Nothobranchius furzeri: one gene and its partner. The protein of the gene in region 2 interacts with the protein of the main gene of each other region in a pairwise test. Links are inferred from orthologs where the notes say so. Each region holds a gene or a part of one and is shown on either strand. Other genes may lie near its edges. The genes, in order: bbln and atp6v1d.

Evidence for each region.
Region 1: the proteins of atp6v1d (region 2) and bbln interact in binary tests that used the Homo sapiens proteins (3 or more experiments, as listed by UniProt). The two-hybrid records come from large-scale screens. The link is inferred for Nothobranchius furzeri from reciprocal best matches to the Homo sapiens genes ATP6V1D and BBLN.

The regions. Positions count from the first base shown.
Region 1 is NC_091746.1:54,789,967-54,793,249, reverse strand, and holds bbln (bublin coiled-coil protein), read right to left. Parts: upstream 1,674-3,283; 5' UTR 1,399-1,673; coding exon 1,320-1,398; intron 1,207-1,319; coding exon 932-1,206; 3' UTR 642-931; downstream 1-641. UniProt on the Homo sapiens protein: Essential for intermediate filament organization in intestinal cells, interacts with intermediate filament and regulates intestinal lumen morphology.
Region 2 is NC_091742.1:8,441,570-8,445,974, reverse strand, and holds atp6v1d (V-type proton ATPase subunit D), read right to left. Parts: upstream 3,058-4,405; 5' UTR 2,861-3,057; coding exon 2,820-2,860; intron 2,301-2,819; coding exon 2,183-2,300; intron 2,027-2,182; coding exon 1,947-2,026; intron 1,869-1,946; coding exon 1,801-1,868; intron 1,715-1,800; coding exon 1,670-1,714; intron 1,571-1,669; coding exon 1,467-1,570; intron 1,362-1,466; coding exon 1,295-1,361; intron 1,226-1,294; coding exon 1,147-1,225; intron 632-1,146; coding exon 487-631; 3' UTR 111-486; downstream 1-110. UniProt on the Homo sapiens protein: Subunit of the V1 complex of vacuolar(H+)-ATPase (V-ATPase), a multisubunit enzyme composed of a peripheral complex (V1) that hydrolyzes ATP and a membrane integral complex (V0) that translocates protons.

The DNA of each region.
Region 1 (3,283 bases), on a different chromosome or scaffold from region 2:
TCTTCGTTTCAACCTGAGTGGATCAGGAGTGGGATAAACACGGGCAGAGAATTTCAAAAAGCAAAACTGTTTCTTATTGTATTTTTATTCAGCTACTGAAAAAATAGAGATGAACAACCAGGTGATGTTTTCTAACTGCTGGAAGTTTATTGTATTTTTGGATGTTTCTTTTTCTGTTTGGGAGTAATCTTAATTTATATTAAAATGTCTGAAATCCCATAATGATCCATGACTCATTGGAATGTCGTTTTTCCTCTCCGTGGTTTTACACTTGAAACATACTGTTCAAGTCAAAGACTGATCATTTTTCATTATTTTAAATGTTAGATTAAATTCAACCTAAACTTAAGATTTACCCTTTGTAACCACTGCTAGGAATTAGTTTTGGATAAAGGTCTGAAGTGTGATTTAACCTACTTTAAAGTAGATACAATTGATGTTAAGCGCATGCCATCGCCCTCAGTTTATCTGTGATCAACATGCAAAAATGACGAGGTTGGTTAATTTTGTGAAACAGGCCTTGGTTATTGCTCTAAATGAAATGCATGGCTCTTTGATTTTAGAGTAATAATAAATGTTTGGAGCATTTATAGGGAAATGTTAACAGAAATGAGGTAAGGTATCTTCACTGAAAACCCCAGTGATGCTGCAGTTTTAACTGCGATAAATATTTTAATTCTCTTCACATTTTTACACAAACACATTTTACTCAGAATGTTCCAAGTCTGGGTCAATAAACTCATAACTGCATAGAACAGAAACACCAGCGTGTCAAAGTTCACCGGTGGAAAGCTGGACTGAGTGTCTGCCAAATGGAATGTAGCTTCACGGAAATAATCAGGACAGACAGGAAACCCAAGCTGATCAAGGGCGACTAATCGATCTCATCTCAGAATCTGCCTGAATCAGTACTGATAACAAAACACCACGTTTAACGACTATTGTCACTAGTTTGTGAATCTGCGCATTCATTTAAATCATCTTTGGTGGGTGAGGAAGACTCTTCCTCTGTGGTCTGACGCTCCCTCTGGGTGCACCCTTCCTCTTGAGTCGATTGAGCATCCAGCTGAGCCCTGAAATCCAAACGGGCTTGCCGATTTGACTCTAGAAGTTCGTGAAGTTTGCCATTCAGTGCGTCATTACGCTCCTCCAGGTCATCCAGATACGAATTGATCTGATCCAGCATCGTATTGATGGCGGAGTACTCTGCGGGTGAAAAGCAGGATAGACGCTTTGGTGATTTACGTAGAAAGCTTCCGCCAGACTCAATAATTCAAATAACATTCAGAAACATGACTCAGTATGCATAAAAAGTTTACCCTCTTCGCCAAATTCATCGTCGTCGTTGATAATACCATCATCAGTGGAGATTGTTGGATCCCCGTTTGGTCCTGACATGATTCAAACTGAAGTAAGCTGCCACTTAAACTCACGCAAAGCTAGCAGCTAGCTAACTCGCACCGGTGCTATTTGTCCTCCGTGACCTCGAATCTCCTCGGTTTAAATGAACAAAATTATAAGAGTTCGCTTTCTAATGTCCTTTCTAAAGGTTGTGCTCAGAGTTCATGTCCAACGCTCTCAGAGGACATTTCAAACAAGGTTAGAGATCTGTCAGCGGCCAATGATAAATGTTTACGGAACAAATTGATTCTGGGAGAAACCTGAGCAGAGATTCGGGAGTAAAACAAGATGTCTCACTCTGGTAATTATTCACAGATGAAATAGGTAAAATATTCATACATTAGCGACAGATAATTTGCAAAACTACTGTCTTCAAGCCGCTACCATTTTATGTTTCCAATGTCGATGGTTCCCATTCATTTTAAACAAGCCATGTCATCACTTTTGATTAAAGGTACAGAACTTTTTTCAGAGTGAACCCTCTTACCTTCTTACTCAGACTCAGAGCGAGAGTCAGCTGACCGAAGCACCTGACTTCCTCTGTCTGGATTTATTTCCCTACCCATTATTTATTTACTCTTCGTTACAAATTACATTTTCCAGCTGTGTTAGGTGTATCCTACAGTGGTTAAGAAATAACCTTAACATACTGGAAATTTCTCTTTCAAGTATTTTAGTGGGGGGAAACAGCTGCATTGGTGGTTGCTGAAAACAAATCTTGAGTGGCAATGTGAGAAAATATTTTCCTTCACAGTTTATTAAAGGTATTGAAATGAACAGTTGGCAAATGACTACAGTTCCAAAACAGTACTTTATTCCTCTTCTCCAAAATATTGGAATATGGAGAAAAAAAGAGGAGAAGAGAGTAGAGAATAGTGACCTTTCAGACTACATGTGATGCAGATTTCACAATAGAAGAAGTAAAAAAAAAATGCGACACGTGTTTTATTAGGGCCGCACAATATATCGGCATCAGTATCAGCCAATGTTAGTCATATTTTAAAATATGGTATTGTTCTGATAAATAAAACTGGGCCGATATTAACAACCAATATTTTTTCCATCTTGTTTCTATTTGTTTATCTGTTTCAGAGGGTGAATGGGGGTATTTGTTTAGTTACGTGACAGTGATTGTAATCATCTCAGATGTGTAAATCTCCAGCTACGTTGAAGGACGCAATTTACTGATGCACGATGCTGTGTTTGCTAAATGAAAATAAAAAAAAAATTATTTTTTCTTTTCATTTATGTACAAACAAACACAACAATCGAACAGCATATAAACGCCCTTGATCGATCCAGCCAGACTGGGACGTAATTTTTTTTGGGGGGGGGGGGGGGGGGACATGTCTCCCCCACTTTTTCAAAAGGCAGTTTTGGTCCCCTGCACTTTTTTACGTCCAAAAACAATGTTACGCTCCATTAAATGGATTTGGTTGAGCACTAGGACCGAAACGGAAACCGGTTTACTATTAGACCCGCCCAAAAGCTATCTATTGGCTCTGCTGATACTTGCTAACGTATTATTGGCTGTTGCTGCTGTCACTCAAGTTGTAAACAGTCAGAACGTGCTCACGTTGTTTTGCTAGTTTGGAGCCGCTAGGGAACACCGGTACTGAGTCACATCGTCAACTAGACGCTGTGTAATATCAGAGCTCAGCTCAGCTTCCATTACATAACATTTGAATAAGTGTTCATTTGTGAGTCTTTGGTAGTTAGGCACAGCCAGGAGGCAGCATGTCAAGAAAACGAAAAGTGGATATAAGAGACTTCTTTCAAAGTCAAAACGTAAGTTTGACATGTGACACCGCTGCATTAAGCTCAGACTCACCTCCTCCTTCACACACATACTCAAAACTAACTTTTACAAACTCATCTCCTC
Region 2 (4,405 bases):
TGTGAAGTCTTAAAGCCGAAACAAAGGCGTGATGTTCTATGAAGCAGGATGAGCTTACAGAGTAAACGTGGCTCATTTGTGTTCAAACCAAAAGCATAAAAAAAAGAGCGTTTGCTTTATATTTAGAGCATCTTTATTTTGTTGACAATATTTTACAGGGTCAGAGATTTACCCTTCACAGGTTTCCACAACACAGACTTCAGCTTTACAGCATGCGATGCTCCAAACGACGTCTACAGGTGAGCCGTTCACACAGAGGGCTTCTTTCATTTTACTCACAAACAACACGTTTATTATTCATAATTACTTTTTTTTTTCTTAAGACTTGTCTGTACAGCGACACGAGAAGACGTTCAGACTTTTCCAGCACAGAAACACAATCACAGATCTGGAGGGGAAAAATAACTTTATAGGGAGGTGTGAACGTGGCCGGAGGCACGGAATAAATAAGACGTTGAGTGTTGAACCACGGGGGGAGGGAGGGGTTCACTCAAACAGCAGGTCCTCGTCCGTCTCCTCCGTCAGCATGTTAGCCGGCTCAGCGATGGGACCGAGTGCAGCCAGCCGGGCGGCGATCTCCCGTTCTGTCCTTTCCCTGAGCTGCTTCTTTTTCTCCTGGATTTTCTTCAGCCTGGCACAGCGGAAAATAACAGGTACTGTAAATGTGAAGCTTCAGAATGGCCAAACTAAAGAGTAAGTCACCCCCCTACCAGAGCCTTACTCCACCCACACTTCTGGTTTCAAAAATGCACCAAAAGGAGGCGTTGCCTGATGGGGTGAGAGGGCGGGACTGCAGCCTGAACTGACTGGTTTTTTGGAGGAGGTGAGCAGCCCTGAGGCATCGGCTTGTGAGTTGCCAAGGCAACCGGTGCAGAGCCTGCTGGCGGCATAGCTTACCCAGAAATTCGGCTGGTATTAGACCCCACAGTGGTACCCTTTAACCAATAGCGATGGCTAACTAATTCAAATGGAATGCAGACTATTAACCTGAAGAGGGCGCTACACCAACAGTTTTAGGTTGAATATTTAAATAAGATGCACCAAAAACCAAAAATAATGATTACACATGACTCTTACAGTAGTTGACTTCCTAACCCATCAGATCCTTTTACTAATGGTTAAGGAATCCGATGCAGCTGCTCTCACCTGTAGAACTCCTCACGCTCCCTCTCATCCAGCTCTGTGATGATGTAGGTGAGAGTGCGATCAATCCTGGGAATAATCACTGCAACGGAGAGTAAAGATGGTTAAAAACACAAGCATCTGTAGATCTTTGAACAACTCGTTTGTTTACCGTGCTCAATGGCATTCACGCGGCGGTTAGTGATCTTAATGGCTTCGTCCAAGGTGACAAATGATGTCTGTTAAAAAAATATTAATTTTTATTCAAAATTAAATATATATATATATATATAGATATTTTGCAAATATGGCAGAAAAATACGCCTTAAAAGCCATAACAGCACCTGTAAGGAGGCCAACTCCACAAGCAGCTCAACAGCTCTAGCATAATTCCTCTTCAGCCGGGAGAGCTGTTCACCTCCTCGGGCTAGACCGGTGAGTTCATAACCTGACACACACACACACACAAACATGCTGAGCTTTCTGAGGTTCACAGACACTAATCCAAATATGATGCATGTCTGAAAAGTACAATTACACTACTTACTGTCTCCACCTTCTTGGTAGTGTTCAAACACTGGAAGGGTGACACCTGAAAAGACAAATTCAGCATGAATAGTTGTTTCCCATCAATTACAGTGATGATGATGATGATGATGATGGGAAGATTTTTCTGACCCGCCACATTATCCTTCTTGGCTCGAACCTTGACCTGGGCTTTGTTCACATTCTGGATTACAGTTGTGCTGAAAGAAGATGAAAAGTTGCTGCGCACGTCTAACAGACTCGATAAAACACGGCTGTAACATTGTCATTACTCTTACCTAAAGTCACCAGCTGCAAATTTGGCTTCAGCCAATGAGAAAGCTGCTTCTCTCATCACCTCTCCCATCTTAGTTTTAGTCTAAAAGAACAGAGAATAAAAGAAAATTCCATTATTAGGTGTTTTTCTATTATGTGAGAAATAATGCAAGATTTAAATAGTTGCTCTAGTTATTTTAGTGTCAAATTGGCTGGAGTGAAGAAAGAGAAGCAGCAATCATTAAATGTTCTGACTGACTTCAATAATTTTACGAAGGATCTGACGGAAGCGCATCGAGAGAGCGTCAGATTTCTTCTTGAGCAAACTGCGGCCAGTTTGAGCCCCTTTCAGTCGAGCCTTCATGATGGTCTGGGCCCTGCAAACACACAGATGACATTTATTTATAGATTCAGACCTGATGTGACTACACAACCACCTATTGTACATTTTTTAAAGTATTTGTCTAATTATTTTTCTCTGCATGGTTGGCCATCCTGAAAGACAGATACCCACTTTTCTTTTTTTACACATGAATATCTGAGTGAGTTTTTCCACATAAACAAACAGGTGACGTGCAGTCAGTTTGGCTTTAAAATTAGAACTAGACCTTCCTTGTGGCTTTCATGAAGCAGGTACAGACTCTGTTCACACTCAGATGTTAGAAACATCACATGACACAAAAATAGCGCTTCCTCTTTTAAACAGCAGACTCAAACTATGAATAAAATGTATCCGCAGTGCAGACGCGGTCCAATTAAGGTAAATAAATGCAGAAAATTAATTATCACGGCATCTGGAAAGCTAGAAAAATAATGTGACATTTAATGGGGGGGGGGGGGGGGCTAATTTGTTAGCCAAGAGAAAAGACGATACGATAAGAAAAGACGATACTTACATTCTAGACGGGAATATGTCGATCCTGTCCTTTCCAGACATGTTTTCGTCTTTATGTTGACCGATCTACTTCTACGCTTTAAACTTAAATATTTAACTTTACTTGTAACTATAACGAATCGTTTGAGGTTAATATAATATCTCAAAAAAGCTATAATTCGAGCAGGATTAGGTGAACGTAGCTAGCTAATGGTCGTGATCTTGTCCGTCCGTAATGATCAGCTGACCCCAAGTCATGTGACACAGCCGTGAATTTACACATGCGCAGAGAGGTACTCTCTATTAATTCTTTCCGGGGCAAAAAAAAATTGCACACCCATGAATGTGAGCTAACGGGTCTGAGAATTTCATCTAAAAGCAGCCGAAAGAAAACATAGAGAAGCATTTAAACACGCCCATCATAAAATTCCAACTTTATCATTCTGTAACTCCATGACACAGGTGAGTTTTCGCTGACAGAGAAGATATTTGAAGCGACGAAGAGACTGCTAGCTAAACGTGTAGCATTGGCAGCCGCATGTGATTTGGAAACCTTAGCCAGGAAGCTAACACCTTAAAATGTCTTTTTCTGCTTGTAATGAAACCGTATGTTATCTCTTAGCGTTTTATTCATTATCTATGTGCTATAATGTGCCTTACTACTAGTACTAATGTGCTGTAATATTTTATTGTCTGTTTTTAATTCCATATGTTCAAGCCAGTTTTTTGCTCTTAAAAAAAGTTGTGGACGTTGCATCATCCCATTCATTCCTAGACTAAAATTTTGAGGGGGGAAAAGCCTAAAACTACGAATCTTTTGAAGAACTGTTCTGAATTTTATTTATTTCAAACGGGTCAAATATTAATGCTGAAATGTGAATACTTGAAATGCTTGTTCTATGCAATAATCCCAACATTTTGCTTTCTGCACAGGGTTTTCTGCTAATGAGGGTGCTGATTGTATCAAGAGCCGTGCATTATTTATTCTTGATGACTTGTGCAAATATCAGTATTACATATTAAGTCTTTTTCTGTTTCTCTGAAGCCGCAGATTGTTAAGTTCAGATAAGGTGCTGTTGGCTGTTAACACCTTATTCTTCCTAATAACCCCCTCAAAGGGTTATTAACAAGTCTCCTGTAGAAGTGAATTGTGCTTATTAATATTGGAATGTTTTACTGGTGACATAATATTTCACACACTGTCAACAGATTAATACCAATAGAATAAAATCATCAAACATTCTCCATTAAACAAAGAACAACATAGAAAGGTCCATTGCAATTGAGGGAAATAATTTTGTTACAGATTAGTGGTGATAAAAAGTCAAATGTTCTTTGAAAGCTGAATCTCCAGTTTGGATTAAAGTGAATAAACCAGTAGCATCAATATGTGTTGGCGTTTAAATGAAAGTAAACTTGATCTCTTCAAACTGCTGCAAGTAAAATGTTGATCTTTGATGAAAGGTTTTTGGAGTAGATTTAGTTTTGTGGCTGCTCTGCCCATCCATGAACTCAAAAAACTTTATTAAAGTCAAATTTACAACAGCACTACAAAATATTACATATTTACATATTTTTCTGCTTTCACTCTTGAGAGGCTAGCGTTTT